7 linked regions of the Daphnia pulex genome follow. The protein of the gene in region 1 purifies or fractionates together with the protein of each later gene. This does not show direct contact. Links are inferred from orthologs where the notes say so. Each region holds a gene or a part of one and is shown in the gene's direction. Other genes may lie near its edges. The genes, in order: RNA-binding protein cabeza-like, splicing factor 3B subunit 3-like, 116 kDa U5 small nuclear ribonucleoprotein component-like, zinc finger CCCH domain-containing protein 18-like, splicing factor 3A subunit 3-like, small nuclear ribonucleoprotein Sm D1-like and U5 small nuclear ribonucleoprotein 200 kDa helicase-like.

Evidence for each region.
Region 2: the proteins of RNA-binding protein cabeza-like (region 1) and splicing factor 3B subunit 3-like purify together in Homo sapiens (affinity purification with mass spectrometry; 3 studies listed by BioGRID and IntAct, with this or other methods). This does not show direct contact. The link is inferred for Daphnia pulex from reciprocal best matches to the Homo sapiens genes FUS and SF3B3.
Region 3: the proteins of RNA-binding protein cabeza-like (region 1) and 116 kDa U5 small nuclear ribonucleoprotein component-like purify together in Homo sapiens (affinity purification with mass spectrometry; 3 studies listed by BioGRID and IntAct, with this or other methods). This does not show direct contact. The link is inferred for Daphnia pulex from reciprocal best matches to the Homo sapiens genes FUS and EFTUD2.
Region 4: the proteins of RNA-binding protein cabeza-like (region 1) and zinc finger CCCH domain-containing protein 18-like purify together in Homo sapiens (affinity purification with mass spectrometry; 3 studies listed by BioGRID and IntAct, with this or other methods). This does not show direct contact. The link is inferred for Daphnia pulex from reciprocal best matches to the Homo sapiens genes FUS and ZC3H18.
Region 5: the proteins of RNA-binding protein cabeza-like (region 1) and splicing factor 3A subunit 3-like purify together in Homo sapiens (affinity purification with mass spectrometry; 3 studies listed by BioGRID and IntAct, with this or other methods). This does not show direct contact. The link is inferred for Daphnia pulex from reciprocal best matches to the Homo sapiens genes FUS and SF3A3.
Region 6: the proteins of RNA-binding protein cabeza-like (region 1) and small nuclear ribonucleoprotein Sm D1-like purify together in Homo sapiens (affinity purification with mass spectrometry; 3 studies listed by BioGRID and IntAct, with this or other methods). This does not show direct contact. The link is inferred for Daphnia pulex from reciprocal best matches to the Homo sapiens genes FUS and SNRPD1.
Region 7: the proteins of RNA-binding protein cabeza-like (region 1) and U5 small nuclear ribonucleoprotein 200 kDa helicase-like purify together in Homo sapiens (affinity purification with mass spectrometry; 3 studies listed by BioGRID and IntAct, with this or other methods). This does not show direct contact. The link is inferred for Daphnia pulex from reciprocal best matches to the Homo sapiens genes FUS and SNRNP200.

What each region holds. Positions count from the first base shown.
Region 1 is NC_060020.1:5,621,666-5,625,632, forward strand, and holds the start of RNA-binding protein cabeza-like, read left to right. Parts: upstream 1-1,167; 5' UTR 1,168-1,262; coding exon 1,263-1,275; intron 1,276-1,494; coding exon 1,495-1,734; intron 1,735-1,799; coding exon 1,800-1,916; intron 1,917-1,978; coding exon 1,979-2,048; intron 2,049-2,716; coding exon 2,717-2,751; intron 2,752-3,497; coding exon 3,498-3,628; intron 3,629-3,694; coding exon 3,695-3,824; intron 3,825-3,888; coding exon 3,889-3,967. Other genes in the region: DNA repair protein RAD51 homolog 4-like, read right to left, coding at 109-277, 342-540, 616-878. UniProt on the Homo sapiens protein: DNA/RNA-binding protein that plays a role in various cellular processes such as transcription regulation, RNA splicing, RNA transport, DNA repair and damage response. Binds to ssRNA containing the consensus sequence 5'-AGGUAA-3'.
Region 2 is NC_060019.1:9,348,735-9,352,688, forward strand, and holds the start of splicing factor 3B subunit 3-like, read left to right. Parts: upstream 1-1,154; 5' UTR 1,155-1,309; intron 1,310-1,635; 5' UTR 1,636-1,691; coding exon 1,692-1,917; intron 1,918-1,982; coding exon 1,983-2,153; intron 2,154-2,340; coding exon 2,341-2,617; intron 2,618-2,809; coding exon 2,810-2,960; intron 2,961-3,171; coding exon 3,172-3,413; intron 3,414-3,580; coding exon 3,581-3,759; intron 3,760-3,818; coding exon 3,819-3,954. UniProt on the Homo sapiens protein: Component of the 17S U2 SnRNP complex of the spliceosome, a large ribonucleoprotein complex that removes introns from transcribed pre-mRNAs.
Region 3 is NC_060028.1:8,367,832-8,371,780, forward strand, and holds the start of 116 kDa U5 small nuclear ribonucleoprotein component-like, read left to right. Parts: upstream 1-1,149; 5' UTR 1,150-1,369; coding exon 1,370-1,690; intron 1,691-1,758; coding exon 1,759-2,083; intron 2,084-2,155; coding exon 2,156-2,280; intron 2,281-2,351; coding exon 2,352-2,599; intron 2,600-2,662; coding exon 2,663-2,825; intron 2,826-2,896; coding exon 2,897-3,032; intron 3,033-3,104; coding exon 3,105-3,782; intron 3,783-3,852; coding exon 3,853-3,949. UniProt on the Homo sapiens protein: Required for pre-mRNA splicing as component of the spliceosome, including pre-catalytic, catalytic and post-catalytic spliceosomal complexes. Component of the U5 snRNP and the U4/U6-U5 tri-snRNP complex, a building block of the spliceosome.
Region 4 is NC_060020.1:4,875,959-4,880,127, forward strand, and holds the start of zinc finger CCCH domain-containing protein 18-like, read left to right. Parts: upstream 1-1,369; 5' UTR 1,370-1,512; coding exon 1,513-2,201; intron 2,202-2,257; coding exon 2,258-2,453; intron 2,454-2,521; coding exon 2,522-2,596; intron 2,597-2,663; coding exon 2,664-2,815; intron 2,816-2,888; coding exon 2,889-3,194; intron 3,195-3,278; coding exon 3,279-3,803; intron 3,804-3,878; coding exon 3,879-4,169. Other genes in the region: trehalase-like, read right to left, coding at 1-140, 300-640, 706-788.
Region 5 is NC_060028.1:1,228,033-1,232,062, forward strand, and holds splicing factor 3A subunit 3-like, read left to right. Parts: upstream 1-1,286; 5' UTR 1,287-1,399; coding exon 1,400-1,543; intron 1,544-1,608; coding exon 1,609-1,767; intron 1,768-1,827; coding exon 1,828-1,900; intron 1,901-1,958; coding exon 1,959-2,050; intron 2,051-2,114; coding exon 2,115-2,336; intron 2,337-2,399; coding exon 2,400-2,710; intron 2,711-2,771; coding exon 2,772-2,880; intron 2,881-2,941; coding exon 2,942-3,016; intron 3,017-3,084; coding exon 3,085-3,286; intron 3,287-3,358; coding exon 3,359-3,492; 3' UTR 3,493-3,530; downstream 3,531-4,030. Other genes in the region: moesin/ezrin/radixin homolog 1-like, read right to left, coding at 1-27, 603-644. UniProt on the Homo sapiens protein: Component of the 17S U2 SnRNP complex of the spliceosome, a large ribonucleoprotein complex that removes introns from transcribed pre-mRNAs.
Region 6 is NC_060020.1:8,496,612-8,499,325, reverse strand, and holds small nuclear ribonucleoprotein Sm D1-like, read left to right. Parts: upstream 1-1,183; 5' UTR 1,184-1,332; coding exon 1,333-1,346; intron 1,347-1,533; coding exon 1,534-1,610; intron 1,611-1,773; coding exon 1,774-1,974; intron 1,975-2,032; coding exon 2,033-2,118; 3' UTR 2,119-2,214; downstream 2,215-2,714. Other genes in the region: GPALPP motifs-containing protein 1-like, read right to left, coding at 20-190, 278-751. UniProt on the Homo sapiens protein: Plays a role in pre-mRNA splicing as a core component of the spliceosomal U1, U2, U4 and U5 small nuclear ribonucleoproteins (snRNPs), the building blocks of the spliceosome.
Region 7 is NC_060022.1:2,646,595-2,650,709, reverse strand, and holds the start of U5 small nuclear ribonucleoprotein 200 kDa helicase-like, read left to right. Parts: upstream 1-1,315; 5' UTR 1,316-1,360; coding exon 1,361-2,651; intron 2,652-2,658; exon of another isoform or gene 2,659-2,664; intron 2,665-2,716; coding exon 2,717-3,870; intron 3,871-3,939; coding exon 3,940-4,115. Other genes in the region: zinc finger protein 704-like, read left to right, coding at 6-239. UniProt on the Homo sapiens protein: Catalyzes the ATP-dependent unwinding of U4/U6 RNA duplices, an essential step in the assembly of a catalytically active spliceosome. Plays a role in pre-mRNA splicing as a core component of precatalytic, catalytic and postcatalytic spliceosomal complexes.

The sequences.
Region 1 (3,967 bases):
AAAAACAAAACATAAAGTTGGATTAAGTCTCAAAGGTGTCCATGCCTTATATGTTTTCGGCACTCGAGGGTTTAATTAACTGATGATAAGTCATTTTTATGTACATACAGTCGTTAAATGCGTCCCCACGTATGGGTAAGAATAAAGTGGCTAGACTGTCAATGATGACAAGTTTGTATCTTTTCATTTCTGGAGTCCACAGCAGTTCCAACAGTTGATAGACATCATGTATGTGGCAGAATGTAATCCTTTCTAAACTCTTCACATAATCACCATCCTAAAGAAAGAAACCTCTGTCATTTGCCAAACTCAACAAAATAACCACAATTTGTGCTGCAAACTTTGTCTAAATTTTGCATGATATCTAGGATTCGCTTAGGATTTGCATCACCAGTAGTGATGTAACAGACTTCATACTGTAACTTTAGAGCAGTATTTGCTGTCAAGTGTAAGGCTAATTGAGTCTTTCCAGAACCAGAATCTCCATAAACTTCTACCAGTCTCCCACTTGGAATTCCTCCATGGAACATTCGATCAACACTATCTTATAGAACAAAATTTGGGGGAATTATTATGTATAGACAATTGCATACAATTATTTAGAAAACTTCTTACATCTCAATTCCACTATGAATAACAACTGTTCTCTTCAACATCATGTCATACAGTTTGTCTCCTCTCATGGGTTTGCTGTTGTTGGAAGCTAAGATTTTATCTTTGATTTTGATAATTTCACTGACATTTTGAACAATCAATTTAGCCATTTTGTCATTGTTGTACTGCACAAAATCAAGAGTAGTTAAAATTTTATGGGATTTCAGTAATTCTAGTTTTTCTTTTGTCAGTAAGGGACTGACACTTTCCGATAAAAGATTCATGAAATAAAAAAGAAAGCAAAACAAACAAAACGATCAAAAACAAATTTAAGTCTGCTCAAGTTTGAAAAATGGAGAATGTCAAAGGAGTTGCCAATAGTTTCAATTAACACTTTAGCTTTAACTGAAAAGCTGCTAAAAAGTCATTGAATTAGCGCAGATAAAGACCAGATTATTGCATATTTAATGTTTGAACTTAATTCAGGAATATTTCAAGCATATTATAAACAAGTAAACTAAAATAAAAATAATTTTTTTTTAATATTTGAATCTTTACTATTTCCACGATTAGGCAGCTCTGTAGCGCCCATTACCCAAGCTTAACCGGAACAGGGAGAGTCGGCATTTTCTATAGTCATCTCGTTCTGACGTTATTGTAACAAAACCATGGGAGACAATCGTAAGTTTCATTTTTTAATTGTTAAGTTGACATCTAAATTGATTCGACAATAAATTTAGCGAAATGATGATGTTATTGGCAGTCCGAAAACTGTTTGTTTAGAGTTACACGTACGTCAATTTATAACCCTGTCTTTACCATGTTGTGGCCCAAGCTTGTCTGGGAATCAATATCCCATCTATAAAAAGGACTCATAGTAATCTTATTTCATATTTACAGAATATGGATATTCTGGAGGAGGTGGTGGTGGTGGTGCCTATGGTGGCTACAGCAGTTACGATCAGGCTGCACCTGCCTATGGAGGTCCTCCTTCTGGTGCCCCTGTAAGCGGTGGATGGGGAAACCAAGGTCAAAGCGCAGCACCATACTCTGGGTATTCTGGCGGTGATGGCCCAGTTGGCGGCTACAGCACTCAACAAGGTGGTGCTGGTGGTGCACCATCCACTGCATATCCGTCAGGTTTGTTAACTTCTAACATTTCGTCATTTCTAACATTTTGATCAACACATACAATTTTACTACAGGAAGCAGCAGTGCTGGTTATAGTGCCTATGGCGAACAGACAGCTTATGGAGGCGGTGGTGGTGGTGGATCAAGTTATGACAATGCAGGATCATATGGTGGATCAGCAGCTTATGGCGGTAATCATACTTTGTCCTAGCCTATTTTATTTAGCAAATTTAACTTTATGTTATCATATCAGGTGGTGGTGGCGGCGGAGGTGGTTACGGCGGCGATAGAGGTGATCGAAGTGGAGGAGGGGGAGGATTCAGGTGAGTTTTGTTATTCAAATAGCTGTTAAGATAGTGTAGAAAAATTAAGTGTACAGTTTGATTAAAGGTTACAACCAGTAAAAGGGAAATTTCAAATTGCGTTCAAGAATACGAAAGTTTGGGTCCAATGGTATCTTTAAAACAATGTTTTGGTATTACGTAAAAACTTAGTATGCTCAAAGTCATTCGGGTTTAACAAACGGGTACTCACGGTTTTCACTTCGGTGGAGCAAAAAACAGTGTTGTGATTCAAGTAAAAAACATGAATATCTTAATGTGGTCGTTTCGGATTGATGGTAAAGAAATTTATCCATTTTTAAATACGCGGAGTTTGGTATGTGACCATCACATGTAACAGTTTACAACGGTTATACTGTGCCAAGTGCACCCAACATTGGTTATTTAAAAGAAAGTAGTAATTTTTTTCATATTGCATAATCTGAACATGGTGTTTTGGTAATTTGTTATTGTTTGATTTGTTTTACTTCATGTTTTTTTTTTAATTATTCTTATTTGTAGTAAATTTCGAATTTTTTGAATAGTATTATTTGCATAAGTTATATCATATTGTGTTCCATAATAATTTGAAAGCAAGATGGCAAATGCATCTTAGCCAATTTGGTGTCAAAGACAGGGTATAGCAAAATGTATCTTTCTGGCTATTGCAGTCATAACGCTGGAAGCAGAGACGGGTTTCCCAAAGGTAATTCAAAGGTTCATCTAACGATGCCTTTCTTACTGTGTCTACTTCTGGTACGGTTTGTCACAATCTTGCCGTTGTGGTGGTGAAAAATCTTCGACATCCAAATGGCATTCCTGTTGGTGCAAGTATCAAGCAAAATACTCTATCTCCATCTTTATTCTTATCAAATCTCCTTGTGCATATTTACGAATCTACGGTACAGAATTTCTGTACTCTTTGATAAAAGAGTTTCAGACTTTCTGCGTGTACAGTGATATACCTGGAGAATGTTACCTTTGTATGCTACGGTATTTCAGTCAATTGTCAGCCACTTTCCATGAATTTAAACCCCGAAAGAGGCCGAACGTGTGGTTCTAGTCTTTAAGTGGTGTGTTGGGTAAAAAAACTTATTTCCACCAGAAATTGGTGGTTTTTTCTTTAAAAAATTCCAAATGGTTGTGTGTAAAGAATCCCCAACAAAAATGGTGTGTGAGTGGTTTAAAGAAATGAGTCCAGAAAACCTATGGGTGTATCTGTAACGTGAACAGGTCAATTGAAACTGGTCCTGTAAAGGGTAAGAACAAAGGAAGTGAAAAAGTGGGGAGAGAAATCGGCTAAAGGTTAAATTTACTCATGGAAAGTTTGGTGAACGGTCCGACTATAGTATTTAGCACATCCTAACCCAACTGTGGGACTTGCTTCCTGCCGCCGTTTATTTCAATTGTGAGTACCTGCATTTAATCTTTAATGTATGTTTCGTTGACAAGGTGGAGCTGCACCAGGAGCCGTTGCTGATGACCGTATTGTTATGGACGACAGCGTGTTTGTTTCGGGTCTTCCTGAAAGTGTGACCGAGACCGAGATCGAAACCTTTTTTGGTTCGATTGGTGTTATAAAAGTATTTATTAAAACATCCAAATCAACATTTTTCATTTTGATAATTTTTATTCTTTTGTCTCGATAGATTGACAAGAAAACTGGCAAACCTAAAATCTGGTTGTTCAAAGATCGTGACACTGGCGCTCCCAAAGGAGAAGCAACAATCACCTACGACGATCCTAGCGCCGCTAATGCTGCAATCCAGTGGTTCCATGGTTCGTAACTTGTATTATTATGATGTGTTTTCTTTCTTAGCCATTTTTTAAATTTGTATTACAGGCCAGCCATTTAATAACGGACCAGTGCTGAAAGTCTCTATGGCTACGAGGAAAAACAACTTCCCTGGAGGCTTCCGTGG
Region 2 (3,954 bases), on another chromosome or scaffold:
TCAAATTCTTCGTTTTTTCTAGTTTCGTTTTTTTTCAAACCTCTAAACTTGTTCTTAATAGGAAACATCAAAAGTCAAGAGTTGATTTCCGACTGCAAGCCGTTCCACATTCCATCACTGGCGACAGAGGACGAGTTAATCGGTAAAGTTCGGGAACTCGATTGTTTCAGTCAATATGAATTGAATGACTCGAAATGAATTCAACGGTACATTATGAATTGAAAAAAAAAGATAAGTGCTTCAACACCCTTATTCGTTATTCCTTACCGCACCGCAAATAAAAATTTTTGAATAAGAAATTTTAAAAGATAGACAAGTTCGGGATGCTGAGTTGCACAACCGCAAAATTAGGATCGTGCGCCAACGAGTTTTTGTAACGTTGTGGGGATAGTAGAAAGCGGGTTTTTTATTATTTAAGCATAGAATTACTTATCTAATCTTAGAAATGTTCAGGATTATCGTTGTTTAGAACATTCTGCTTTTTATAGAGTAATTTTAAATGTATAATTCAGCTTAGTTTACCCATTAAAATTAAAGAAAGTCCAAGCCTGGGATGCTGTTTAGTCTTTTCTTGTGTTTTTTGACAGATCTGCTGACAAGTGACAAGCTCAAACACACAAGAAAAGACTAAACAGCATCCCAGGCTTGGACTTTCTTTAATTTGAATGGGTAAACTAAGCTGAATTATACATTTAAAATTACTCTATAAAAAGCAGAATGTTCTAAACAACGATAATCCTGAACATTTCTAAGATTAGATAAGTAATTCTATGCTTAAATAATAAAAAACCCGCTTTCTACTATCCCCACAACGTTACAAAAACTCGTTGGCGCACGATCCTAATTTTGCGGTTGTGCAACTCAGCATCCCGAACTTGTCTATTCAAAGCGTGGCTGCATGGTGGTTCTAGAGAGAAACTCGCGCGCATAGCAAGGGATCGGAATATGAACACGTCTTTTGAATTACTTTATGAGTAATAAAAACAGCTGTGAATAAATCATTCTTGATTATCACCACTGAAATTTTTTATTAATTTCACAATTTTATTGTATAATGCATTATGAAATCGTTCTATAAATAATAATAATAATTTAAAAAATCTTGTGATAAAGAAAGCGCAAATGCATTGAAAATGCTGTGTTTAGGGATAGACCAAGTAGAGAGTCGATGTCAGATGTTCAAAAATATTGCCTATCACACAATGCACGAGAAGTCGAACCCTAAACTCGAGCGCGACGCCGGAGCCAAGAGAGATTTCACTCAACCTTTGCTGAATTTTCCATCATGGAAAATCTGTAACATCCACAGGTAAATTCAAGTTTGACTACACATTTTAGTTCCAGATAGTTGAAAAGCAGTTATTTTGATGGTTAAATGTGTGTTTTTGGCGATGTTTAAAATATTGAAGCATGTCAATTTGAAAACCTTGCCGGGTGAGATGCCGGGGCTGTAGTTTCTTTCGCGTACTCGTCTAGCTATTAAAGAAAAGAAAACCCCTTACAACTTTACCGCCTTTCTGTGAATTAAGTTTGGTGGCTATACATGAGGGGGACATTAATTTTCAAATGGTGTGTAACATTGTCATTAAACATGTTGGACAAATGTAAGAATTATATCTGATAACATTTTCGCAGGTGATGCTCATCTAGGCAGTTCAAGTTACACATTGGACACGTCAACTTGAAAGAAAATGTATCTTTACAATCTGACTCTGCAGCGTGCCACTGGCATCATTCAGGCAGTCCAGGGCAACTTCAGTGGCACCAAGCAACAGGAGATTGTCATTGCTCGTGGAAAGGTACTCGAAATTGTGAAGCCGGATCCCAACACTGGCAAAGTACACACACTTCTCAGTCAAGAGGTTTTTGGAATCATCAGGTCAATCATTAGTTTCAGGCTTACTGGAGGAAATAAGGGTGAGTTGTGCAAATATAATTTTTAAAACATACATCCTGCTAACTTTCATTAATTCTGTATTTAGATTACCTTGTGGTCGGATCAGACTCTGGGCGAATTGTCATTCTTGAATACAATGCTGCCAAAAATGTGTTTGATAAGGTGCACCAAGAAACGTACGGCAAAAGCGGTTGTCGTCGGATTGTTCCTGGACAGTACATGGCAATTGATCCCAAAGGCAGAGCTGTTATGATCAGTAAGTTTTGATCCGTTTTTAATTTAAATTCTTGCAAGTGATGAGTTACGTTTTTATGTCTTCTTTCCCCATCTGAGAAAGATAATGCTGATATCTAACGTTTTTACTGAGAATTTTTTAAAATCGAAATCTTGTGGCTTGAGAGTGCGCATTGCTTTAACATTTATGTTTTTTTTTTGCATTGCAGGTGCTATTGAGAAGCAAAAACTGGTCTACATTCTGAACAGGGATGCCCAAGCCCATTTAACCATTTCTTCTCCGCTGGAGGCTCACAAGTCAAACACTCTAGTTTACAACATAGTGGGTGTTGACGTGGGATTTGAAAACCCTGTATTTGCTTGTTTGGAGATGGATTATGAAGAGGCCGATGGTGATCCAACAGGCGAGGCGGCACAGAAGACGCAACAAACGCTTACATTCTACGAACTCGATCTGGGTTTAAACCACGTCGTTAGGAAATATAGGTGCGTAACAAATCTTGGTGATTTTGGTTTTGCCTGGTTGGGTTTCAAAACCCCTTAACTTTACTGCTCTCTTGTCACTTAAAGATTGCAGCTATACATAAGGGGGACATTATCTATCATAGTGTGTAACATTGTTGACTTATGTGTGACAATGTAAGAAATATTTTGATGAACATATCTTTACTTTAATAGTGAGCCGTTGGATGAGCACGCCAATTTCCTCATCACTGTTCCTGGAGGAAACGACGGACCTTCCGGAGTTCTGGTTTGCTCCGAGAACTACATCACATATAAGAATTTGGGTGAACAGCATGACATTCGTTGCCCAATCCCCAGAAGAAGGGTACGTTTGATCATTTCATTATGTTATTTGGCGCGCGGTATCTCCAGCCGTGTTCTATACACGTGCTGGTCGACTAGTGCCTAAACTATACTTGGAGATGTTTGCATCGTTGGATTGTAATGCGCATATTGCATGCTGTCCTGGAACGAACCTCCGATAAGTTATTTATTCCATGTATTGAGGACGGTAGTAATAAGTTTTTTCTCTGTAGAATGACTTGGATGATCCGGAAAGGGGCATGATTTTCGTCTGCTCGGCTTCCCATCGCACCAAGGCCATGTTTTTCTTCCTTGTCCAAACGGAGCAGGGCGATATTTTCAAGATCACCATGGATATGGATGAAGAGGTGGTGAGAGAATTGAAAATCAAGTACTTTGATACCGTTCCAGTTTCGTCCAGCATGTGTGTGTTGAAGACAGGCTTTCTATTCGTCGCATCGGAATTTGGAAATCAGTTAGTTTTCTTAAATTTTTTTTTCTATTTGCTGAAATGATGTGTATTGTCATCCGTGTTTCACCTGAGATAACACTTTGATTATAATTTTTGACTCTGATTTCGGTTACAAAATTTGAAGTAGTTTTATGGGTTTTCAAGTGTATTAATTTTCCTTGTGTTATTAGTTATCTTTACCAGATTGCTCATTTGGGGGATGATGACGATGAACCCGAATTCAGCTCTACTATACCATTGGAGGAAGGAGATACTTTCTTCTTTGCTCCGAGACCTTTGAAGAATCTTGTTCTCGTGGACGAGATGGAGTCTTTATCTCCAGTTCTGGCCTGCCATATTGCTGATCTCGGTAGGTTTGATAATTCCTCCTGTTTTGAAAGGTTTTTAACATTTGTTTTCAATTTACAGCCAATGAGGATACACCCCAGTTGTATGCACTTTGTGGTAGAAGTTCTCGTTCGTCTCTTCGTGTTCTCCGTCATGGATTGGAAGTATCGGAGATGGCTGTTTCTGAACTTCCCGGTAACCCCAATGCAGTGTGGAC
Region 3 (3,949 bases), on another chromosome or scaffold:
GACAGACTACACCGCCGTGGCAATGCACACCGGACAGTATAGTGACCCCCCCGCAGACACAAAAAAGATGATGGATAGAAATTTAAAAAGAGAAAAACAAAACAAACCAAAAAAAAAAAAAATCTCAGTCAGAGTCTGTCGGGCTATTGATTGGACACCCCCACGGAAAATTCACGCACGAGGAATAAGGAGGAGGAAGTCGATTGCTGCTGTTGGCCAAGTCTAAATGTGTGCAGCGACATTCAACCGGGTACATTCTATCCGCCTACACAATGGATGACATTGCTGCAAACAACAAAAACAGAACAAGCAACTCGAAGCATCGCCGATAACGGTGATTATATCCCGAATAAAAAAAAAAAAAAGAACCATCAACCGAGAACCCATGGACAGAAGGAGAACTCTAGTTGGGCTGGGCTGGGCTGGTCTACATCACCGAATGGCCGGCATTGATTTTGTCGATCTGCCCATATCATCCCAAGTATTTTTTGGGTTTTTTTTTTGTGATTTCCTTTTGGCAACAACAAACCAACAAGCGAATATATAAATCGGGGTCGCTCGTCTGTAGACTCGTCTGCAGATAAAGACGTCTAATATATCTTTCCATACGAGTCGGCAGCAATAAATCATATAAGGGCACTTGCCCATCCAGGGGGCTTCCATCGCCCGGCAAAACTGAAATTCTGCACTGTGTGCGTAGACATCAGACGACTGCTGAGATTTATTCCGTTATTCAATTCAAAAACATGACGGCATTTTACTCCTTATTTCGCCCGCTTTGATTGATATTATCGCCCGTGTTCGACTGACTTTGTTTCTCCTACAAAATGTTTTTTTCCGTCGTGGACCCGACCTGATAGCGACTGACACGTCATCTATATAAATTCACAACTAGATTTCAGTTTCCAGTGCACAAGCAAAAAAACAGCGCCAGAAACATTTCCTTATTCGGGTAGGGAAAACCCCGCCCTCAACGGGATTCCCATTTGCATTTTATTACGCTGTGAATTTTTTTTTTCTCTTTTATTTTATTTTTATTTATTTATTTTTATTTTTATTTATTTTATTCATTTTATTTTATTTTCATTTTTTTTGCCACTCATAATCCACCTGCTAGCTGGTAGATGGCGCTGTTCTTAAATTCAGATTTCATTGGCACCCGCTAGATGTCGCTAGTGTCGCTCGTTTTGAGCGCGTGCAAATCTGTACGCATAGTAAACGCATTTTCTTGAAAGGCCCGGCTTTTCTGAAATTCCCTTTTGAAACAGCTTTATAACTGTGAGTGTTGGGTTAAGCCGAATACCGATCGACAACATCCAAAGTATCTGCCCAATTTACAGACAGCAAACGACTCAGTTGACTGTCAAGAATGGACGCCGATCTCTACGACGAATTCGGCAATTACATTGGACCCGAACTCGAGTCAGATGAAGACGAAAATGAGGAAGGAGACGAGGCTGATCACGATGACGAAGCCGAAGACTATGGTGACAATGATTCCGAAGAGGCCATGGATCAAACGGTGGTTGATGGCGACGCACAGATGGCCATTGTTTTGCATGAAGACAAAAAATACTATCCATCAGCGTTGGAGGTTTACGGACCTGGTGTGGAGACACTGGTGCAGGAAGAAGATGCTCAGCCCTTGACTGAACCCATCATCGCACCTGTCAAACGAAGGAAGTTTCAGGTACCACAAATTGTTTCGCTGCCATATTTCATTTTGTTGATTAACCTGTTTCCACCCATTTTCATTAGGTTGCTGAGCAAGAACTCCCTGAAACCACGTATAACATGGAGTTTTTGGCTGATCTCATGGACTCTGCAGAACTTATTCGTTCAGTGGCCCTTGTTGGTCATTTGCACCATGGCAAGACTTCCTTCATGGATTGTCTGCTCATGCAAACACACCCAGATCTCCAGACGGGAAAACCTGGCAGTGGAGAGGAGAAGCCTGTCAGATACACAGACACACTCTTTACTGAACAAGAGAGAGGTGTTTCCATCAAAGCGACGCCCATTACCGTGGTCATGCCCGACCTGAACGAAAAATCCTTCCTCCTCAACATGTTCGACACACCTGGTAAATTACAGTTTTCCAACTTGCAAAATGGGGGGGAAAAATGTATTTAATCGATTTTGATGTTTCTTAAAGGTCACGTCAACTTCTCAGATGAAGTCACGGCTGCCCTGAGACTTTGCGATGGTATCGTCCTCTTTGTCGACGCTGTCGAGGGTGTCATGCTCAACACGGAACGAATCTTGAAGCACGCCGTCCAGGTAATTAAAAAAAAAAAAAAACTTCAACTTGGTTATTCCAAGAATTTCTTTTTAACCCTGTCCTTTCATAGGAGAAAATGGCCATCACAGTTTGCATCAACAAAATCGATCGACTCATTTTGGAGCTCAAGCTGCCACCTCAGGACGCATATTACAAGTTGCGCTACATCATTGAAGAGATCAACGGTCTTTTGGGCCTGTACAGCGACGAAGAGAATCCAAAATTCGTGTCGCCCTTGTTGGGCAACGTCTGCTTTGCTTCTGCCCAGTTCTCCGTTTGCTTCACCCTTAAATCCTTCGCCAAACTTTACAGTGACACGTACGCACACGTCCACAATGGCAATGACGGTCTTAAATGAAACTTCATTTTCTTTCATTTTAGATACGGATCCGATATCAACGACAACGAGTTAGCACGTCGTCTGTGGGGTGACATTTACTTCAACAGCAAGACGAGAAAGTTCACCAAAAAGCCGCCACATAGCTCGGCTCAGCGAAGTTTCATCGAGTTCATTTTAGAGCCGTTGTACAAAATCTTTGCCCAGGCATGTACCAAGGACAACTTTGCAGTTAATTTGAACAGTTGATTCATTTCCAATATTTTTTGCTTGTTTAGGTTGTGGGAGATTTGGATTCGAGTCTACCGCAGTTGCTGGACGAACTTGGCATTCGCCTGACTGTCGAGGAACAGCGGTTAAACACTCGCCCCTTGTTGAGACTGGTCTGCAGTCGCTACCTGGGCACTTTCAGCGGTATGTCAATTAAAATGTATGTTGAATTGAAGCAACGGTCTTTAAATGTCAATGTTTGACTGGTGTGTGTAGGTTTCGTGGAAATGTGCGTCAAACACGTCCCGTCGCCCGTAACGGCTGCTCGCACCAAAGTGGAACACATTTACACAGGTCCCCTGGAGTCCATCCTGGGCGAAGACATGGTCAACTGTGATCCCAACGGCCAACTGGTTGTCCATACTACCAAACAGTATCCCACAGAGGACTGCACTGGATTCTATGTCCTGGGTCGTGTCCTGAGTGGGACCCTTCACGCTCACCAGAACGTCCGACTCCTGGGTGAAAACTATTCGCTCAATGACGAAGAAGATTCACGTGTGTTGACGATCGGTCGACTTTGGATATACGAGGCCCGTTACAAGATCGAAGTCAATAGAGTAACGGCAGGCAGTTGGGTCTTGATCGAAGGGATCGATGCCTCAGTGGTCAAGACGTCGACCATCGTCCAGGTTCACGTCGACGAGGACTTGTACATTTGCCGACCCTTGAAATTCAACACGCAATCCATCATCAAAATTGCCGTTGAGCCGGTGAATCCCAGCGAATTGCCCAAGATGTTGGACGGTCTGCGTAAGGTTAACAAATCTTACCCGTTGCTCTCGACGCGAGTGGAGGAGTCGGGCGAGCACGTTATTCTTGGAACAGGCGAACTTTACCTGGACTGTGTCATGCACGATCTCAGGAAAATGTACTCGGAAATCGACATTAAAGGTTTGCCATTCATTTCTTCCCAACTGTTAATTCTTCTAATTTAACTAATTCACTTTGGTTTTTCTTGTAGTTGCTGATCCTGTGGTGTCTTTTTGCGAAACGGTCGTGGAAACGTCCTCACTGAAATGTTTTGCCGAAACTCCAAACAAAAAGAATAAAATCACAAT
Region 4 (4,169 bases), about 750 kb from region 1:
ATTCATTTGAGAGATAAGAAGACCTTTTACGATCCAATAAGAATCCCAGTAATAGGATTCTCTGAATCTTCCACCGGGAACAATAAATGGATTCGGAACATATACAATGGAGTATAAATCAGGATTATCACGAACGTCGTCTAGAATTACAACACAGAGCCCATAGTCCAAGCAGTGAAAGAGAGAACACCAGCAAAGAATAGAAATTTAAAATATGATTCTCTTATCTGGCGGAAAGAAAACTGGACTGCAATTTAAGGAAATCAATAAAACCATAATGTTTCTTTTTAGACCATCACCTTTTATCTGTCGCCCGAGAGATTTCCATCCTTCATGAAGACGATTCCCCCAATTGCGGAACTCTGAATTATTAATTTGAGATAGAAATGGAGGATCACTGATCCAGTCCGATGGATCCCAATTCTGGAATTCCAATCCTTCAGCTTCAAAATTGCTGTCAACAAATGCCTGTAATTCTTCTTTGGTTGGCTGGTTTTCAGTGTCGGTCATGAACTGTGAGAAACTAGTTAAGACTATTTCTGGATTAAAACGCAATTTTTTATCCACAAAAGTTTTGGAATCTTTGTATAACTCCGCGTTTTGGACAGCATGCAGCAGGGGTCCATAGCAATAAATTTCGCTAAAATTAAAACGTAATTCTGGTAATTAAGCAATTTCATTGTTAGATTACAGAAATTTTCTTGCCTGGGGCAGGGTGGTGGCAGTTGAAAAGTTGAAGTTGAAAAGGTCCAAGCAATTATTGCTAAAACGGTAATTAATCGAGACATTCAATAATATGAATTTTAAATGTTTTGCTTAAAAAAGAATGTAAAATGTTTGAGAGAGGTTAAGCATGGAGCTAAACATGCAATGGGCCAATGACTAAACGAAAACGAATCAAGTGACTAAACGAAAATTATGTTTCGTAATCAAAAGGCTACGATAGATCAAAAACTTATCAGTCTTGTTTTTGTCAATATTTTCAGGTCAGATAACTCTACGATTGATTGAACATTGGAAGTTTTGAACCCGTCCACCGAAACTTAAAAAATAAATGATAACTCATGTTGACGAAAGCAGAAAACTCTTTCGTTGAGTATTGACTCAACTTAAATGGCTAATGATAAAAGCGCAAATCCGCTATCCGCATGATTTCAAACCTTTCTTTTGTGCGCGCACAATTGTTTCAGCGTTGCCAAAAATAAAAAAATTTAGTACCTTATTATTTTCCAGTTTCAACTCTTTGAGTGAACCAAATCTAAAAAAAATAGTTAAAAAAATTTAAATACTTTCAAATAGTTTGCGTCTGACTATAGAATAGATGATAAATGTATTGAAATGTTCAAAATTTAATTGGCATCATATATTATAAACAGCCGACAAAAAACGGGGCTGTCATGGCGGCTTAGTTGCAAGCCAGGTTGTTTGGATTTTTGGTAGTTTTTCCCAGTTTGTTGGCTAAAGTTAGTAATTGATGGTTACCACTGTTGTTTAACGTATATTAGTAAAAGAATGAGTCAAAGCGGTTTAAGTGCTCCAGCAAGCCCGGATCCTGACTTGTCTGGAACCAGTTCAAGCATAATCGAAGGACAGTTGTATACGAATTCGCGTCCGGAAAGCCGAAGCAGCATTAGCAGCAACTCCATGGTTGATCAGGACCAAGCCGCTGAATCCAGTCGTCTGAGTTCAAACGTAGATGAAATTGATAGAAAATCTGATAGTGGAGAAGTGATTGGGCTTGATGAAAATGCCCAATCAGGTGGCTTGCTGGATGAACATAAACAAGAGTTAATGGCTTCAGATTCAAGCAAAGAAGATGAGGATAGTCTTGAAATGGTATCAGATGATGAAATGGAAGCTAACGAAAACTGCAAAGATTCATCTAGTAAAAAATCTCCTCAAATTTTGGATCCATTGATTAAAGACACTGAATTAGACTTTGAAGAAGATAATCTTGAAGAAGAGCCCAAAAAGCCGATTGAAGACAGAAAGCCTGAAAAAGATGACGAAGATGGAGAATGTGATGGAGAGAAGCCACAGAGAGAAAAGGAAGCAAGTGAAGAAGAACTAGAGGAAGGTGAAGAGTTGGAAGAAGGTGAAGTTAGCAGCGAAGAAGATGTTGGCAAACATGCACGCATGGAACCTAGGCCTGTTTGTAGATTTTACAGTAAAGGCAATTGTACTTGGGGTAATAATTGCAGGTAAGAACTAGTATTTTTCTTTTTTTGAAAGAAAAAGTATTGATATTGTTTTACAGATTTGTTCATCCTGGAGTATTAGACAAGGGAAATTACAATATGTTTGCTCCTGCACGTCCATCTGCCCATAACGGGCCTTCAGCACCCTACGAAAGACCTTTTGATCGACCACCGGTGGTTCCACTCATCCCGCCAGCAGAGTGGGCAAATTCTCAGCCAAGGGTCGCTAATCCTCGACCTCCACGACATCCACAGGTACACGGTTACTTACTTTCAGCTAAGTCAATTTTCGTTATTTGAGAAACTTCATTTCTGAATTGTAGCCGGCCGAGCCACCTCGGACTGATGCAACCGGTGCTGAATCACCTTGGGAAAGAGGACTGAGACAAGCCAAAGAGGTATGAGACAATGCCGTGATTATTTAAGTTTATTGCTATGGGTTCATAATAAACGTTTTCTTTACAGATGCTCAAAAAGTCCAGTCATCGTAAAGAAACTGACATTGACTTCGAAGAAAAAAAACTAAATTTAGGTTTAGGTGAGGAAGAATTGGACAAAGAGAATGACTACTACACTCGACCTGCTAGTCCAGTTTTACATGGAGACGTCCCTCCTCCGTAAGTTAAATCGCACTGCATTAAAATCTGTTTAAGAGTTAAATAGGATCTGTTAATTTTTTTACTCCTCTAGATTTGAAGAGCCAGATACAGAACCATACCATAAATTTTTACCTCCATCAGCTGAAGGGCGATGGCCTCCGTCACGCTACCCGCCTCCTCACCGCCACCCCCCACCTGGTTACCCTTATCCGTACGAAGGCCGGCGACCTTACCCACCAGAATCAGAGTATAGAGAAAGGGAATACTATCATCCGGAAGGATATGAGCGTCCGCACTACTACGGTCCAAAACCAAGTGAACGAGATATCCATCCATCTGCCAGTAAATCCCAACCTCAACTTCCTCCCCCTCACGAAAAAAGATGGTCTGATGAGAGGTCAGTTTTAATTGATGCAATGTGACTGCGTCTGTAGAACCAAAACAAAATCCTTTATTGAACCTTTTAAATTGTTCAATATAGATACGTGGAAGTTGTGCCTCCAGCTCAGCGTGGACGTAGTGATGAATGGTGGGATCCGTGGATGAGATCAAGATCTCCTGGTGGTGCTGGAGGCGGAGGTGCTGCTGGTGGTGGTCCATCTTCAAGTGCAGTCGTTGGCGCCGGAGGAAATTCGGCTGGAGCTAAAGGTTCTAGACGACGTAGCTATTCGTCTGGGTCATCTTTTTCAACATCGTCGTCGACATCGAGCTCAAGTTCGAGTTCATACTCGAGCTCAAGCAGTCGTTCCAGTCGTTCCAGTGCTAGCTCACGTTCCACTTCAAAATCTAAATCAATGAATGTAAAACGACGGCAAGGACGGAAGGCAAAAGTCGGAGACCAGCGGGTTAAAGGGAACCATAAGACCGTCTCTTCACTTCCTGTTGCCAAACATAAAACATCTTCATCCGCTCCCATCCCGTTATCGCCCCCGCACCCCCAATCCTCACGGAAGCCCACAGATAAGCAGCGGAACATCCATGAGAGGTCACCTCAAGTTCGAAATAGGTAAATAAATAGCTTACATTGCTAGGCATATGTCAGTTCAATGTGACGTTTTGCATATTGTCGTGGTACACATAGGGACTGGTCAAGTTCTTCGTCCCGTTCACGTTCCAGATCTCTTTCCAAGATGCGCCCTGCGACTAAGAACAATAGCTCTGCCCCTCCCACGAAAGCCCATGGAGGACGAGCTCGTGCCTCCTCCGGTTCGTCCAGTTCTAGTGAATGGGAGTCATCTCCACATTCAAATGACATCGGACGACCCCGTCGACCATCGAACCGTGGCCGACGAGACTTTGCCGAACGTAAAGAGCTACGAGGTGTAAACCCTCCACCAGCGTCATCTCATCCATCAACTAAAGGAAAAGCTGT
Region 5 (4,030 bases), on another chromosome or scaffold:
CTCGCGCGAACAATACGCACGGAGAACCTGGAAAGAAAGAAAACAACAGGAAGAAATTAATGTCAGACAGACAGACTGGGGTTGTTGCTGGTGGTGTAGAAGAGATTCAATAGCATATGGTCAACAAAATCTAAAGTACACAGATGGTCAGCATGTGGGCACATAGCTAGAGTGATGGGATTCTATATGTATATGTGAGTTGTCGAAAGGCCAGAGTGACTTCCCAACACATCCTGTCCATTTGGCAGGGTGCCGTCACAGTTTAGCGAATGCATCAGGGTTGATCGAAAACCAAGACATTCCTTTTGAAATGTCAAGAGGAGAAAAAATAAATTACGGTTGAATGGAAAGAATACAAGGAAGGAATGGTGATGTCATGGCTGGCCCGTACATTATTTCCAAACCCAGAGAGATGAGCATTCATTCAGACACCTGTATTTCAACATGAGCCTTGAGTGTCATTGATAGGGAAAGGATGAAAATAAGGGAGGGGGGAATGCTTAGGGCAAACACTCGAGTCAAGAGGCCGAATCGTTTTTCGATTTTTCACGATTCCCAATGGCGAACACACCAAACACAACTCAAGAAACACACACACACACCACGCCTATTGTTTGAACGACGGCCACCTGATAAACAAACATCAAGTTCTTTTCGGTTTGGATGTGTGGATATACACTAAAAAATGTTAATCAGATTAAATGTAAAAGAATAAAACAGAAATAAGTACTGTTGCGTATACGTGAAAACCACTCTCTCGGGTGACAGCCACTTATAACGCACTGAATCGGCGGCGGCTCTCGACCGTTGTTGGCCCTCAGTATACCTCCCCTCTTCGCTCTTCTGCAATATGGCTACCAATAGCTTAGCTCAGCTTTTTTTTCTTTTTTCTTTTTATTTCGATTTTCAAAGACTTCGCTCCATCCCTCTGGCGACACTAGGAAACATTACCGTCCTGAGTCCTGACAGCAAAAAAATGCTCACATTTTCTTGGAATGCAATGAATGAAATTGGTTTTTAATGATTAGGAATAAATTAAAATTTTTAATTAAGCTAGAAAATTTATTAAGCTGTGTATATTGAGAAGGTAAATGAATCAAAATTTAATTTTAAGGGGTTTACACTTTACAGTCTTGTAAACATGAAATGAGTAACAAATCATCAAATTTAAATTTAGACAATATATTCTTTTATTTTAACGAATTGTACCATTTTAATAATTAAAAACATTATAATTAAAAAAGTGAAAATAGTTTTTGCAAAAAATCGATAGAATACTTTAGTTCTTACAACGGCCACCAGTTTGTTTTCCAAGCCCAAGCATTGTGATTTTTGCTCGTTTATTGCCGGCTTGTTTAAATTTTTTTATTTTATCATACAATTCAATTCATTAAAACCAATGGAGACTTTGCTAGAGCAGCAGAGGAGATATCATGAAGAAAAAGAGCGTATCATCGACTCCATGGTCAAGGAAACAATCTTCAAAAAGACCACTCAAAGGGAGATAATCAACTCGGAACACCGTCAGAAAATTTTGCTTGACGTATGTAAACTTTGGCTCATACAATTGAACAAACAACTCTTAATGTCGTATTTTGATAACTGTAGAGGTATATGGAGAGTACAAGAGTTTTGAAAGAGATCTATGAAGACAAGGACGGACAGCGCAAAGAGGAGGTGGCACTGCTCTCTGGACCAAATGAATTTGTGGAATTTTACAACAGACTAAAACAGATCAAGGAATTTTACAAAAAACATCCAAATGAGGTATAAAACACATTCATTTTCTTTAAGTGTCATTCAATAGCAGTTGGTTTTGTTTCACAGATTGCTGTACCAATGTCCATGGAATTTGATGAGTTTGCCAAACAGAGAGAGAGTGGAGCTGACGAAACAAATAGTAGGTTATATCTGACAGAAAGCACAGTCATATAAAGCTAATGTAATTTGATTTTCAGATTTGGTTGACTTTACCGATGAGGAGGGCTATGGCAAATATTTGGATCTTCATGAAAGCTATGTGAAATACACAAATTTAAAAGGAATTCAGGTCAGTTTATAGATTGAAACAAGAAACAAATCGAAAAAAATTAACACAGTTATATTTCTTACAGAAAATTGACTACATTAGCTACCTTAATATGTTTGACCGTCTCTTTGATATTCCCCGGGAGAAGAAGAACGCTGAATACAGAAACTATCTACAAGCATTGGTGGATTATTTAGTCGATTATGTTGCTCGAGTAAAACCAGTCATGGACCTTGACAACTTGTTTCATGAAATCGAACAAGATTTCGAAAAGGACTTTGTAGCGGGTACATTTCCTGGATGGCCGGTAAGTCTATTTACGACTGTTTCTATTTTCTGTCCAACCTAACTAACGCTGGCAAATTTATAGAAAGAAACAACCGGAAGTGCTTTGGCAAACGCAGGTGCGGCGTTGGATATTTCAGCCTTTTCATCTTGTGAGGAATTGGCATCTCTAGGACTGGATCGTTTGAAATCAGCATTGATAGCTTTGGGTCTCAAGTGCGGTGGAACACTCGAAGACCGTGCCAAAAGACTCTTCAGTACAAAAGGTCTGTCGGTAGATGAAATTGACAAATCTCTCTTCGCCAAAGGCCAGGGTAAAAATCGAGGTGCTACCGAACAAGATAAGGAAGCCGAAAAACAAAAGAAGATTGCCCTTCTGGAGGCTCAAGTTTATAAGTAATTCCATTTAAATTATTGAATGAAATTGAATGAATAATTAATTGTGAATAATTCATAGACTGATTGAGATCTTGTCTGAACCACGGCATGCTACCAAAGAGAACGTGGAACGTAAACAGGCCCGAACAGATGGGGAACGAGAGGAGGAAGAAGAAGACGTTGTCGAGGTATAACTTAATTACTTTGACATATTTCCTTAAACTTTAAATTCTCAACTGCCATTTTCAGGTCCCCGAGGATGAAGATGAAGACGATGACGTCCCTTACAATCCCAAGAATTTACCACTAGGTTGGGATGGAAAGGTATAAATGAACCAACATTAATAATTGTGTAACTTTGTTCTAATCTTATCGATTCATCTCTTATCCAGCCCATTCCATATTGGCTTTACAAATTGCACGGCTTGAACATCAGCTACAATTGCGAGATTTGCGGCAATTACACGTACAAAGGTCCAAAGGCGTTTCAACGTCATTTTGCCGAATGGCGTCACGCTCACGGCATGCGGTGTCTGGGTATTCCCAACACGGCCCACTTTGCTAACGTAACACGAATCGAAGATGCAATTTCACGTAAGCTTTCAGTTTATTTTTGTTTTTCCTGTCCCCTACCGATTAATAATAAAATTCTAATTGAAACTTCAGTTTGGACAAAATTGAGAAGCCAGAAAACGTCAGAACGTTTCGTCGCCGATCACGAGGAAGAGTACGAGGACTCGATGGGCAACGTCATCCCCAAGAAAACGTACGAAGATTTGCGTCGACAGGGTCTCTTGTAAAGAAACATGACTGGAAAAATAAATCTTATAACTTCGTGCGCGGTTATATTTTTATTCCATCACATTTGCACAGAGGAAGCGCAAGCTCCTTGGTTGTTGTCGAGTGTCACTGTAATATTGGTAATCTTAATCTATGTTTCGATTTATCACTTTGTTGTCAACTTGTATTACTGAATCATCTTCCCATCACAAAACTTTGCTCAGATGGAGTTTTTCGTCATTCGTCTCAATTCCCAGCTCATCGACATGTCGAGAAAAAGAATATGGATTAATGCTTATGTGTCACTGATTTCCGTCGATATCCTCATCGATCAGCTACTTTTAGTATACTTGCATTTTAACACACTTAAAGTATATACCACCTTACTATAGGTATGTAATCTTAATCATATTCGAATTTTAAACAGTCATCTTATAACAAATATTTAAAACCTCTGAGCAATCACGATATTGAAAAGGCACCCCAAGCTTTAATCACTTGCTTATAATTGAATTTGTCTTTAATTGATAACATCTGTATTTGAAATATCGAAATGGC
Region 6 (2,714 bases), about 2.9 Mb from region 1:
AATAAAAATGTAGGATTACCTTGCTTTTCATTTCCTTTTGATGTGTCTTCAACAAACTCTCTGACCTCTTCTTGGATTTATCATGCATGGCCACAATTTTCTCAAGCTTCTTATTCCTTTTTTGTTCCAAGTATTGTTTCCTCATTTCAGCTTCAAAATCCTCATCTTTTTCTTTGGATGTACTAGGCTGCTAAAATTATATTAATTAAATTATAGAAATTAGCAATGACCAGCTAAGAAAATTTCATTATATGTGTATCTATTGTACTATCTGAACCTTGGAAGTTGGTGTTGAAGTCCATTGATCTCTCCCTACAACCTCAGGTTTGTCAGAACGATTAAAGACACGAGGTCCCAGGCCAAAGTTTTTCCTTTTCAGTTCTGGAAGCTCAATCATCCAATCTTCTCTTTTTGGTTGCTTGTTGGCTTCATCATCATCCACACCAAGCAACTTCCTCTTCATCTTAAGAGCCCGCTGTTCAATGTCAACTGATGAACTATGTTCAGCATCCATACAATCAGCTGGCAGTGGTCCAATAACTTCATCATCTGATGAAGAGTCAACTTCATGATTAACAGAGCATCCTCTGTCATTGGAGATATTTGATTGCACTAACTTGCTGGACACTTTCTGTGATTTTAAATGAGCGGGAAGTGCTGGTCCGTAGAGATCACCTTCATCAGAATCTGAATCATCATTTTCATACGCTGTTTGAAGATGAGGAGGTAATGTTGGTCCGATTCGAGACATTTTGAGAGGGAAAAATTAAAACCACGCGGGAAATTGAGAATGCGTTACCGACAAAGAATTATTTTTAAAAAATCGAAAATAGGTGAAACCGAAACCCAATGTTTAGCTTACTGGAAATGCTGTTATAGTATGCAGGCCTGTCTCATGTGTTTTCTGTTTTGGAGTACGTTTTATTGTCACTCATGTCATGCCACTTGTGTTCTATGCGGTTCTATGATACGCTTCGATAATGCTTCTGGATTTATGAATTTATTTTGATAAATAAATTTAAAATAATAAAAAAAAATTATTATTAGTTAATTTTTGATTAAAATATGCAAAAATAAACCTTGTCTAATAACAAAATTCAAAATATTTGCGTAGATGGCGCTACGTTACAAGTACAAAAATCATAGTCATCGACCGTTATGAAATATGAAATGTCACAGGGCCTTTTTAGTATAAGTTATGCTTCCAACAAGCAGTTTTGGTTTTTGACTAGCGTACCTCGTGCGTTTCACTAAACTAAGGATTAAAACATTCAATAAGTCGTATATGGTGATTTACTTTATTACAGCCATCAAACAACAAGTTTATCAAAAATGAAATTAGTGAGGTAAGTTTCGGAATATGTTCATTGTCAAGTAAATTCGTACAGAAAGTAGCCACAAAAATCGGTTTGGTCTGGGTATTAAGCCGGTTGTTGGATGCGTCTGGGAAACTATGCCGTTTCTATATTTCACAACTTAAATAGTTCACTGCTTTCAATTGAAATAAATACCATTATTTTGTATAATCCTTAGGTTTTTGATGAAACTGAGCCACGAAACAGTCATTATTGAATTAAAAAATGGTACTCAGGTTCATGGAACAATAACAGGTAATTCAATTTTGTTGTCTTTATTCGATTTTTTATTTTACTGCAATCCTTAAATACTTTCTTCGAAAACTTAGTGAAATTGCAAACACATAAGTGACATTTTAGAAGAAAAGTTTTCCGTTTTGTATATTACTAAATTCATTCATTTGATTATGTTTTATAGGAGTTGATGTTGCTATGAACACTCATTTAAAAGCTGTGAAAATGACAGTTAAAAACAGAGACCCTGTTCAGCTTGAAACTTTGAGTATTAGAGGAAACAACATCCGGTACTACATTTTACCTGATTCACTTCCTCTTGAAACCTTACTATTGGATGATTCTCCGAAAGCCAAGGCCAAGAAGAAGGATGCTAGCGGTAGAGGTAAACTTTTTTCCCCTTATCACTGTGTTCCTCTTTTCATTTTCTTTTCTTTTTTTAGCTCGTGGAAGAGGCCGTGGACGCGGAGCTGTCAGAGGAGGACGTGGACGAGGACGTGGACGTGGTGCTACTGGTCCTCGACGCTGAAATTTGTAATTTCCAACGATTTTCCATTTTTTTTTTCGTTCTTTTCAGCAAATGTGGAATCAGTTTTCATTTGCATTACAAATTGTCATTGTCTTATATGTTTTTTGGTCAGTTGAAAAGTCCTTAAAACAAACACTTTTTTCCCCACAGTTGAGTCTGTATGAGAATTATTTATCAATTCCAATTGACTCCCATGTAAGCATAGATAATTTGTAGAGAACCGTCAATTCCTTTTCTTGATTTATAAGCGGACATCGCATAACGTTTCCTTGCTTATTTCAAGAATATTGACTATTCTTGCCATTTTGTCAGAGGAGTCGGGGAAAAAACAAGTGTAAAGAGCGGTGTAATAAGTAATGAAAGTTTGATGGAAATGAAAGTTAAATTACTTTTCTATTAAATTTAGACTAAAACTATTCAATTTTTTGTGACTAAACCATTAAACTTTAATTTAAATTAAGAATGTCGCAAATTTAAGGAAAACTTGACATGTTTAAGAACAGTCGTGGCTACAAGTTTTATTTGCTTTTGTAACTTCAGTTTAAGAGGTATTTGCGTTTAAGAGGCTTTCGGCGATATCTGCTCCTAATTTTCTA
Region 7 (4,115 bases), on another chromosome or scaffold:
TCTAGAATGCGCTCAAACAGGCCAAAGTGGTTGTGTCGCCCAAAACGTCTCCTTCACCGGCGCCCCCACTAGCGCCACCATCTACTACCGGAGCTTCGGTCTTTACAGTCAAGAGCAGTCCCGTTCGTCGGCCCCGCGGCGAGGCCAAAAAGTGCCGCAAGGTTTACGGAATGGAACACCGCGAGCAGTGGTGCACTCAATGCAAATGGAAAAAGGCTTGCACTCGCTTCGGCGAGTGAAACAAATGACTATACCACACCCCAATGTGTACGTATATATATACTATTTAATCCTTTCCGAGAAAAAGAAAAACAACCGCTCGGATTTCCGACTGTAGAAATTTAATCCGTTTTCCGCTTGATTTTGACATGGAACAAACGTCTCCCCTCCTTTTTCTTTGTCTGATTGTGTTTTGTTGTTTCATGGCTATTTTTCTTTTTATTGTTGTCGACAGGAAATTTTTTTTTAAATTTTGATGTCTGGTGCTGGATGTATTGCGGAATAGGAGCCAAGTTTTTGTGCGGATGACGGATCTCAAAAGATCTATGACACTTGGCGCGCTGGGCGGTTGATATTGTTTGAAACCATTTTTACTTGCGGGCAACTTTTTGACAAAAGACAAAAAAACGTTTTGACTTTATTTTTTATTTTTTTAATTATTATTGGCTTTCGTATTTGTTATGACAAATTCATGCCGGAGCGTGTTGTTGTGTGTGCATAATTTTCGTTGTGAAGATGCAGTGTTGTTTTGTATCTTGCCACTGACCAGGCTGCCGTAGCTCAGTGACGATTTCTCTGACTGGTGTCGTTATTACCTCTCGTACAACATCATTGAAAAAATATTGTTTTCATCCCTATGTCCCACCTCATATCTGCGTTACTCTCAAAAAAGCTTTGTACAGCGTTAGATGGCTTTTTTCTCTACCAATGTTTCTTTATTTCGTCGATTTAGAGTTATTTTTGCAATAACGCTGCGTGAATTTTAACGTTTATAGATTTACCCTATTTAGACCTGATTTTGTTTTTCCATCTCCTTTGTAGTTCGCATAGTGGGGGGTTTTGTTTCTGTGTTTTTTTCTCATTTCATTCTCAAGACCGATGGACTTTTGAAAAATGTTTGGTTTTTTCTCCTTACAAAAATGGTGTTTTAGTTTCTTAATTGCTTTTTTTCTGTATTTTTTTTATCCCTTTTTTCGCGCGTGTCGACCCAGAGTTTTATGGCGAGATTTTTAAATTTTTCAATATACAAATTTCCTCTCGAATTCTGAATTTTGTTTTATTACAAACTGGCAACGCTGTCAATTGCCTGTTCGAACAGCATACGAAACTTTCGTCAGTGTCTAAAAGCAAGCCGTAAGAAATGGCGGACGCCGCAGCACGTTCGCTCCAGTACGAGTATAAAGCCAATTCTAATTTGGTTTTACAAGCTGACGTTCGTTTAATCGATCGCCGAGCACGAGATGAAGCCACCGGTGAGGTTATGTCCCTTACTGGGAAGTTGGAAGGAACTCGCATGGGTGACAAAGCCCAACGGATGAAACCGGCAAAACGTCAGAAGCGTGATCCCAACAAAACTGATATTGGTGGTAAAAATGGTGGAAAAGGACCTTTGCAAAGCGACAACCTGGATGAAATCTCTGGCATCATCTACAGGCCCAAAACGCAGGACACCAAACAGACTTACGAAGTGCTTCTCAGTTTTATTCAGGAAGCGTTGAGTGATCAACCCAGAGATGTGTTGTGTGGTGCTGCTGATGAAGTCCTCACGGTTCTCAAGAACGACAAGCTCAAGGATAAGGAGAAGAAAAAGGAAACAGAGGCTATGCTTGGCTCCTTGCCAGAAGAAAGATTTGCCCTGCTCGTTAACCTGGGTAAGAAGATCACAGATTGGGGCCAAGACGAGAAAATGGGTACTGGAGAAGAGCAAATGGACGACCAGTATGGCATCAATGTGCAATTTGAAGACACAGACGAAGAAAACGAAGAAGAAAATGTGTATGGAGAGATTGGAGAAGAAGATGACGGTGAGGATGAAGCTGATGAAGCTGAAACAGACCATGCCATTCATGCTGATGCTGTCGCAAGTGGCGTCGATTTGGGCGGTAAAAAAGAGAAGAAATTGCATCCCCTCGATATTGATGCCTATTGGCTTCAGAGGAAGCTGTCAAAGTTTTACAGTGACCCCATGGTGTCTCAAGCCAGAGCCGGTGAAGTCCTCAACATCCTCAAGAATATCCAGGATGAAAGAGAATGTGAAAATCAGCTAGTTGTCTTGCTTGGTTTTGACTGCTTTGACTTCATCAAGCTGCTTAAACAAAACAGACACATGATTCTTTACTGTTCGTTACTGGCATCCGCACAGAGCGAAGCTGAACGTCGAAGCATTCAAGACGAGATGAAGAGCAATCCCCATCTGAACAAGATCCTTCGACAATTAGATACTGTGAGGGACGACACTGGAATCGAACCGATGGAAGTCGATTTTAAAAAGAGTTCACGTCAAGGTACTTCTGCCTCCAAAGAAGTCGGAGGTGGAGGACAGGAAGGGTACAGTGGCATTCCAGGTCTTCGAGAGCTACTGGACTTGGAGGATCTTGCATTCGCTCAGGGCTCTCACTTCATGGCCAACAAAAAGTGTACACTTCCAGAAGGTATAATAATTTAGTTTCTCATCTTTTAATTTCAATCAAAATTTAAACATGGACTTGTATTGCAGGTTCTTTCCGAAAACAGCGTAAAGGCTACGAAGAAGTTCATGTGCCACCATTGAAACCTAGGCCTTTTGATGCTGATGAAATGCTTATTCCTATCGATAAACTTCCAACCTACGCCCAACCAGCTTTCGAAGGATTCAAAACGCTCAACAGAATCCAGTCTAAAATCTATAAAACAGCTCTCGAATCGGATGAGAACATGTTAATTTGCGCCCCAACCGGCGCCGGCAAAACCAACGTGGCTTTGTTGACAATGATGAGAGAATTGGGCAAGTACATCAATCCGGACGGAACAATTCGCGTTGATGAATTCAAAATCATCTACGTTGCACCCATGCGTTCGCTCGTACAAGAGATGGTGGGCAGTTTTGGCAAAAGACTGGCGCCTTTCAACCTGAAAGTTGCCGAATTGACGGGCGACCATCAACTCAGCCGTGAAGAAATTGCACAAACTCAGGTGATTGTCTGCACGCCCGAAAAGTGGGACATTATCACTCGCAAATCAGGAGACCGAACCTACACGCAACTGGTCAAGTTGATGATCTTTGACGAAATTCACTTGTTGCACGACGACCGTGGTCCAGTTTTGGAAGCCTTGGTAGCTCGTACTATCCGCACCGTCGAATCCACTCAAGAAGATTTGCGATTGGTGGGTCTTTCTGCCACGCTTCCCAATTACGAAGATGTGGCCACTTTCTTGCGTGTCCGACCCAAGACGGGTCTATTCTTCTTCGACAACAGCTACCGCCCTGTACCCTTGGAACAGCAGTACGTTGGAATCACGGAGAAGAAAGCTGTTAAGCGTTATCAGATTATGAACGAAATTGTATACGAGAAGGTAATGGAGCACGCCGGCAAGAATCAAATTCTCGTCTTCGTTCATTCGAGGAAAGAAACCGGCAAAACAGCACGTTCCATCCGCGATCTTTGTTTGGAGAAAGACTCTCTGGGAGCCTTTCTACGTGAGGGTTCCGCTTCTACGGAAGTTTTGCGCAATGAAGCCGAACAAGTTAAGAATCAGGAGCTGAAGGACCTACTTCCCTATGGTTTTGCCATCCATCACGCTGGTATGAGCCGTGTGGACCGTGCTTTGGTCGAAGATTTGTTTGCTGATCGTCACATCCAGTTGCTCGTTTCCACAGCTACTTTGGCCTGGGTAAATATAATAACTAATCAGAGCGTTTTAGAAAAGGTCAAATTTTAACGATTTTTTTACCAATATTAGGGTGTCAATTTGCCAGCCCATACTGTCATCATCAAAGGAACGCAAGTCTACAATCCGGAGAAAGGTCGATGGTGCGAACTTGGATCTCTCGATGTCTTGCAAATGTTGGGTCGTGCTGGTCGACCGCAGTACGATACCAAAGGTGAAGGTATCCTCATCACCAACCACAGCGAGTT